Linked DNA regions of Drosophila melanogaster. The protein of the gene in region 1 interacts with the protein of each later gene in a biochemical or structural test. Each region holds a gene or a part of one and is shown on either strand. Other genes may lie near its edges.

What was found.
Region 2: the proteins of icln (region 1) and Smn are reported together in a solved structure, tested with the Drosophila melanogaster proteins (one study listed by BioGRID).

What each region holds. Positions count from the first base shown.
Region 1 is NT_033778.4:17,587,758-17,592,381, forward strand, and holds icln (icln), read left to right. Parts: upstream 1-3,206; 5' UTR 3,207-3,275; coding exon 3,276-3,394; intron 3,395-3,480; coding exon 3,481-4,009; 3' UTR 4,010-4,124; downstream 4,125-4,624. Other genes in the region: RhoGAP54D (Rho GTPase activating protein at 54D), read right to left, coding at 1-774, 863-1,029, 1,297-2,097, 2,151-2,383, 2,449-2,597; CG30105 (uncharacterized protein), read right to left, coding at 4,129-4,206, 4,271-4,624. UniProt on the Drosophila melanogaster protein: Involved in both the assembly of spliceosomal snRNPs and the methylation of Sm proteins.
Region 2 is NT_037436.4:16,579,898-16,583,464, forward strand, and holds Smn (survival motor neuron), read right to left. Parts: upstream 1,651-3,567; 5' UTR 1,555-1,650; intron 1,491-1,554; 5' UTR 1,286-1,490; coding exon 605-1,285; 3' UTR 501-604; downstream 1-500. Other genes in the region: Rpn12 (regulatory particle non-ATPase 12), read left to right, coding at 3,203-3,567. UniProt on the Drosophila melanogaster protein: Core component of the survival motor neuron (SMN) complex that plays an essential role in spliceosomal small nuclear ribonucleoprotein (snRNP) assembly in the cytoplasm, is required for pre-mRNA splicing in the nucleus and acts as a chaperone that discriminates target and non-target RNAs of Sm proteins.

The DNA.
Region 1 (4,624 bases):
GTCTTCATCGCTATCGTCTACATCCTCCAGAAGTGGTGCATCCGCTGCCAATGGGCATGGCTTGCTTTCTTCGCCACTGGGGCGCCTCCTGAGCGTGGCAGAAACACTTCGCACCAGTCGTTTGGTTGTCTCTGGCGTACTGAATGGGAATCTGAGATTACCCATGCTAACGCCCTTCATCAATTTTCGGGTTATTGATCTGCCCATATGGCTGCTGCTAGCTACCATGGTACTGCGGCCCTCCACAATGGGCGTCAGTGCGCCGTCGTCCTCTTCCTCTGCGTCCACCTGCGGCAGGATACTTGACAGATTAGGCTCCGACTTATAGCGCGTCGATTGCTGAACGGGCGTTGAGGGATTCGAGTACTCCTCAATCTCCAGCAGTCGGTGCTCGTCCCAGGCAACGCTCTTCTTGTCAATTAGCTGCTTTGCAACCGCTGACATGATCTTTAAAGGCGTCACGCAGCAATCGGCATCGATCTCATCCAGTTCCTGGCCGGAAGCACCAGCAGCTCCATTGCCAGAAGGCGATTCTTTCGATTGCTGTCGACTGACTGGAGCAGAGATACTACCGCTGGTCGCACAGCTAGAGCTGCTGTCCGAAGACGAGGATTCGATCTTGAGGGAAGCAGATGAGATGGATTTCTGAAGCTGATGCCGAGTGTTAGTGGACAGGCTGACGCTGGTGATGGTCGATGAGGTGGGTGTGGGTGGCGTGGGGCTCTGAAAAAGCACCCGCATCTTGGGCGGTTTCACATGCGACATATTGGGCGTCTGGCGATAAACATGCGATGGATTACAAAAAGGCATGCGGTTAGTTAAAAAAACACAGCAGTAGGCGAAGTCCAAATGCACGACTTACCTCGGATCCACTAGCCAAATGAAAACTGGGTGGCACTCTTTTTGGAGTCCGCGACATGAGGCTCTTGTGGAAAATGTGCTTCTTAATGGAATCTCCCAGGGACTTGGCACTTCGAGTGGCCTCGTTGTTCTTCAAACGATTCATTACCACCAGTTGCAACGGTGTGCCTAATCAAATGAAAATTGATTAGTTGATAAATCATAATGATATTTTTTTTAATTATTTTAACTTTTTCCCAAAAATTACCTCGTTATTATGTGCAAACTTAAACATTGGCTATAGATTTCTTACTTCCGTAATATTAACTATATTAATTAGATTCAAGATATTTTGAACCTTAATTCAAGTAATTTTGAAATTACTAGCAGAGGTATTTAAATCATAAGACCCAGAGTGAAAGGGCATTAAAGCATTAAATATATAAAGTAATTTACCCTGCCCATTTTGCTTGTTGAACTGCTTAATCAAACGCCTCTTCTTAGAGGACTCCGGCATGCTCTGGATATGGGCATAAAGTTGCGCCAGCTCCGTGTCCGTATTGTTCGTATTGGTGGCCGCTGCAGTGGCGGCTCGGTCTACAAAAGTGTACACCGTGTTGACCGTCGAGACGTCCGAGATGGACTCGTCAAGCGTTTGTTCCGGCGACATGGTTTTCTTTCTTTTGCGCTCGAGAAAGTACGCCCGGATGTCGGTAGACAGCTTTCCAGGCACCTCGAAGATGTCCAGTCCACGGACGATCATATAGGTCACGATGCTGGACATTTTCTTGGCCTGGTAGTGCAGGACCTCGGGTGGCAGTTGCCTTGGGCAAATTAGGTGCGGTGTGAAGAGAGTGGCCAAGTTATCGGCGCTCATCTTGTTGCTTTTCTCATGCTTGGCCACAGCATGCAGCATCTCAATGATGTGCTGAAGAAGTTCACGATGTTCTTCGGGCAGGAGGAGAAGTAGCAGCTGCACGGAGTTGAGAAGATGTTGTTGACGCTCAGCAGTGGCAGTCGTCTGACCATTGAGCGCCTGGCAGAGTGGGGCTATCTGCAGATGCGCCGGATAGTGGGCATCCGTAAGCAGCGGTTCTGGAAGTTCGGATAGAAAACCTTTGAAAACGGTCGCGCAATCGTGAGCGGAGAAGCCCGCAAGTTCCAAATTCAGTGGTTTGTCGTGCTGGATGTGCATCCGAAGTTCGTTTTGTCGGGACACCGCACCAGCCTTGCGGAATAGGCCTTCCTGGGTGAGATCTGAAACAGTGGATCAGTTAATGAACGTAATTTGAGATCTTCAGCGAACTTACTCTTCTCCAGCATTAGGAACTCCTTGAGCTCTTGCAGATGCATTAAGAATCCCGGATCAATCTGCTGTTGCAGTGTCTCTGTGGGACTATTACCCACGGATTTACTGGCGGAGCCGGCGGCACAGGATGTGGCAGCTGCTCCATGTCCCAAACGATGTTTTTTAGACAGGCGGTTCCACTTCTTCAGCTTGCCCTTGTCCTCGTAGACAATCTCGTGACAGGGGAGATCGAATCTACATATATAAGGGAATCGTTAGTAATGTGGTGAGCAGCCATATACCAAGGTGATCCATCTTACTCATCCGTATTGAGCTCCAATTCAAACGATAGGTGCATGCGCACCAAGGATTTGTATTTTTCGTAATTGCAGCGGCGCATGCGCGTGGCCAGATCGCGATCCCTGAAGTCATTTAGGTTCGCATGGTCCGTATCCATCGTTGCTTCCATGCAATCTGTGTGGTTTATCCGTCGGGACTATCGAGTAAACACTGTATATATCCACGAACAACGACAACAACAACAATAATAACGACTGCCAACGGATAAGGAAAATAACAACAACTTGGAAGGACAATGACAAGTTCGTTTCGTTAACCCGAAGGCTACTTCTTTCACTTCTGTCCGTAATGGGTTCGTTTTGAGGAGTGTATTATTGTCGAAGGTTTGATGCGCGAGCATATAACTTCGCATTTATCACATTTATCGCAAATTTTAACAGCTAAAATTGAAAATTGAACGAGACGCTACCTAACCAGTGTGACCGCGGCTAGAGCGCCAAATTAAGACCTCTTTGGGAGAAAATCGTACGCGCTGATCTGGTAGCACAATTACGTACTACGTTTTTATCTTTTTTTGACAAAATTGTTCCATTCTTTATATATCTATTTCTAAATTCAACAGTGGTAAGAAAGAAGTTGTCCTCCGAGAACACCTGTTCTGATGATTCTACATTCAAAGAAGGAAAATACATCAGAGCGTTGCCAGAGTCCAGCTGTCTCTCCTAGTTATTGCCACCCTTGCCAGACTTTCAAAAGGGGGACGAAAAAATGGTACTCAACACTGCATTTTTGCAAGTTTTGTTGTTTGATCGCGCTTTTTACAATTAATTTAACAAGCTGTATTAAAATGGTTCTTATTATGCGTGTTTCCCCGCCGGAACATGGTCTGTTGTATACGGCAAACAATATCAAGCTGAAACTAGGCGACAAAGTGGTGGGCGAAGGCACAGTTTACATTGCCCAAAAGTGAGCGCTTTAGAGCTTTGCCGGTGTCTGGTATTGCTCTCTATTTATTAAAATCTTTTAAAGTAACTGTTATTTCTTGTTCCTAGCACGCTATCCTGGCAGCCAACTGAATTGGCGGAGGGTATATCCATTGAGTGGAAGCAGGTTAGCCTGCACGGTATCTCTTCGAATCCGAGAAAGTGCATCTACTTCATGCTGGACCACAAAGTCGAGTGGAACGGCGTCTACGGAGATCCTCCCCAGCAGGCAGTCAATGGTCGGAATGGCGGTGGTTCGGAAGCGGAAGTGGACGAGGGAAATGGCAGCGATGAGCACGATGAGGACGACAATTTCGAGGATGCCGTAGACGAGCAATTTGGAGAGGTCACAGAGTGCTGGCTTATGCCGGAGGACATTCACACCGTAGACACTATGTACAGTGCCATGACGACTTGCCAGGCCCTACATCCTGATTCGGCAAACAGTGATTCGGAAGACAGCGATCCTATGCAGGATGCCGGTGGCTTAGAGGATGAGGCTATGGAGGAGGATGATGCATTGACGCTTGGGCGCAACGGCGTGCAGAATCTCAGTTTGGACGACGACGAAGAGCGATTCGAGGACGCTGATGAGTGAAGCATAACCTATTTAAACATCAATACCACGTTTTATACCAGATAAAATGTACGATATATATGTATTGGATTAGATTTTGGAGTAATAAATAGAACGCGGTAAGCGCGATTAAAACAAAACTACGTGCTTTCCTTGACGTTTTCCTTATTACGAGCGATTTCTTTCTCTAAATCCTCTTCGCTAATGGGCTGCGAGAGCTAAATAAATAAAATGTGGTATTTATTAGGTGTACTTCGAGAATATATAGTGGTATATACATACAGCTTGAGCAACATCCGGCAGAGGAAGGGCCTGTCGGTAGGGATCGCCATTGGACGGCACTTTGTCGTAGTTCCAGTAAGTAAAATCTTGAAATACTCCAGTTAGCCGCAACTTTCGGTCGGAGGTATCGCTGATGGGCTTCTCTGTTTCTTGCAGAACTAATCCGCAGTATCCTTCGGGCACTTTCAACTTCTCTCCCATTAAAGGAAATCCGCGCAAGGCGTTCGTCAGGATTCCTGTGCCGAATTCGGTTGCTTCACGTGTGTAGTTGTTGAAGTAATTTTTTACATTCGCTTCCCCATCGCCGTCTATTTTGGCCGGCAAGTAGTGCACGTCTAAATTCTTACCCTTGGC
Region 2 (3,567 bases), on another chromosome or scaffold:
TGCAAAAGAGAAGGATTTACCACTTATATTTCAAATCGTAAGCCTGTGAAAATAAAGGATGCATTTGGCAGTGTTGAATATGGACGGTTAAAAGGTCCAAGCGCATTTTTAGCTAGTTTGTTAATTAGGCAATACTACCATGTACTCTCTTTATCATTATATCTTATTTTTTATCAATAAAATTTTTCAGCTTCTGATTTTAAAACAGCTACACGATACCCAAAGTTAAAGAAATCTATTGCAGTGTAAGAAAGTCTGCTTACCAATCAAAATATCCGTTTTTTTTCTTTTCTGATTTGTATACTGCCAGCTAAAATATCGCCATTCTACGATCTATCGAAGGTTATGAAAATTCCGTTATACTACAAACTCAACCGCTCGCTACGAAATGTATCGAAGCACTGATTTTCTCAAGTGGCCATATTGAATGTCAACCTAAATTTCTGCCTGCCTCGGCATTTTTTTTTTCCATTTATGTAGCAATTGAAACGAGATCCCACCATGACGATACTGACTCTTTAATATAATAAATTTAATCGTTCTGTTTTCTTAATATCTACAAGTCTTTCGAAAAGATGTGATGTGATGATGAGATAAGATGGAATTACTTCTTGGGTGTCTTTTTCTTTCCGCTAGTGGTGCTGGCTTCTTTCTTTCCCTGGTAGAGGCCCGTATAATAGCCGGACATGTACCAGGCGGTGAGCATGGCCACGAAGTCCTGTTCGGCGCCGTCCCCTTGTCCGACAATCATGGGCGGTACTGGTGGCATGGGCGGCATAACCAGTCCGCCAGAGATCCTACTCCTTCTGGATGACTTGGGAGTCTTTGAATGACTACCAGCGGATGCCTTAGGGCGGCTCAACTGCTCGTCCTCATCCTTCTTGGCGATAAGGAACTGCTCGCGACGCACACGCTTGCCCCAGGACGGCAGGAGGTCCACGAGCAACACCTCCTGCTCGTTCTCATAGCCCAAATAGCGGAGTACGCAGGTGCCCTTCTCCTCGTTAATAGACACCACAGCGCCCTCGTAGTCCACACCATCCACGTAGGTGGCCCTGGCGTAGTCGCCTACTTTGAAGGATACTGGTTCCGGGCTGGTAGCCCCACCAGTGGCCGAGATCTCGCCAGCTTCTTCTTCAGCTGCGGCAGCGTTCTCCTCCTCGCGCTTGTTGGTGGAATCGGCGAGGCGGCGGGCCAAAGCTTCGCGGGCCAGTCCCACCGACTCGTCGTACGTCTTCACCAGCAAGGAGTCATCCCACACCGCGGCGTTCGTCTCGTCGGACATCTCGGCTTTCTATCCTATCAGGCAAGTATCACGTTTTTAAAGGAAGAACCAAGTTTCGCTTTTATGCGAATTTGCTGTGTGTTGGAAAGCGCAGGCGAATCACCGCTTAGCAGCACAGGCCGAAACATGAAACTATCGCTAAAAGGTGTACATTCAAACTAAGATGTGATAAAATTTATGAAGTCATTCTGGGTATTATATTATTCTGAAAGCGAACGAAATGGTTAAGAAATATTTAAATTCAGTAAAGCTGAAAAAAGTTTTCATACTTTGTGGCCAACATTCACAATGCAATCAGAATACTTCCAATGTAATTGTATTGTATTTATTGTTTTAATTGAAGTCTTCTTTTTATACTTTCCACTAAAAATACTTTATTGTGAGTGGTGTTGTACCTATCGTCCCCATTAACCGCACGATAGTATCGATACTTATCAGCATGCATCTTTAACACAATAAACAAACAATAAATTGATCGATCCGACCTGAAAGCGAGATCGCTAAATTTTTTAACTCAATTTCGGAGGTATGGAGTTGGGGTTGGTGTGCCGAATTTGCCTCGGGCAATGTGAAAACGAGTTCAATATTTTTGAAGTTAAGCACGGCACTGAAGCTTCAATAGCGTCAATCATTTCCGAGTGCACTGGCCTCAAAGTGGAAAAAGGCGATCATCTACCCGAAACATTTTGCACCTCCTGCTGCCAAGATGCACAAAATGCGTTCGAGTTTAGAAAAACCCACCAGAGGAGCTAATAATTTTACGTTTAGTTAATGGAGGAATCCCGATTCCGCAAGGTATCTTATTCCGAGGATGGGGAATCGAGTATCGATGGAGGTGCTTTTCAGCATTTTGTCGAACTCGAAAGTGTAGTTGAAGATTGGCGAGGCAGTGGCATGATCCAATGGGAATGTTGTCTAGTGTAGAACGAGCCTCTTTAAAGACGATGATCAGTTCGTGGACTGTGACAGCGATCAATCCAATAGCCAAGTCAATATTGAGGTAATAGACGAAGACTATGATAGTTGTGAAAACCATAGATTGCAAAATAAAGGACGTGATAATGATAAGCTGCTTCAATGTCCTCATTGCCCAACGAGGTTTTGGATAAACTCAGCACTTAAGCAGCACTTGCTGCTTAGCAGCAAAGGCTTTGAAGAGCGTATCGCATCTTTCGGGACATATTGCAATACACACTGAAAAACGGTGCCCCCATTGTACATCGAATTTTACGCTGGCTTCCAATCTTAAAAGGCATCTAATAATCAACACAGGCGAACGCCCCTTCAAGTGCTCCCAATGTCCTAAGGCGTTTTACCCAGAATGCGCATCTTCGAATTCACATGATGAGCCACACAGGAGAGCGACCGTTCCCATGCACCAAGTGCTCCAAAAGCTATTTCACGAACACGCAACTGCGGTACCATCTAAAGACCCACAAAGAATGAGAGTTCTGAATCGCTTAATAATTTAAGTTATTCTTGACACAAAACTTATGCCCAAGGTCAAATAGACGTGATTTCAATACCCGAAATTTTTAACTATACTGAGACAATCACTAATTGAATAAACAGTCCGAGCTTAAATGCGAAAATTTAGATTTAAACTCCATTAGATAGTTTGTTAAAATATATCGATATTAAAGCACAAAGGAAATACAATACCCCTTGGATCAAATCATAAAGCTTTCAGTTGTAAACTGTTAAACTATATAGAGTTCGTCTAAAAAATGTATTTTTCAACTTAAACTTACACTTAAATAATATTCCCAGCCCTGTGGTAACTTGACAATCGATAACTGTTCCGATAACGATTGTCCTATCGCTTTACCCTACAACAATTGCCATCTCTAAAAAAAAGCGAAAATCATCTTGGGAATTTGCAGAAAACATTTAAGCTTCAATATACCAATCTAAAGAATGGCCAACGTGGAATCGCTGTACAAAGAACTGACCGCCGAGTGGTCAAAGCGGCCACCAAACACCGTCAAATGCGGCCAGCTGCTGGATCAACTGAAAGTAGCGCTCGTGAAGATGGCCTTCCTGCCGACGGACGGAAACGATGCCCAGAGCTCCAAGAAGCAATTGATCCTGGCTAGGAGCGTGCTTGAGGTGGCCGTGGAGCATAGCGTGCTCAGCAAGGACCTGCTCGCCTTCGAGCGCTACATGGCGCAGCTGAAGTGCTATTACTATGACTACGCTAAGATCATTGGCGAATCGGAGAGCAAGTATAAGCTGCTCGGTCTGAATCTGCTGTACCTCTTGTCTGGCAACCGGGTATCCGA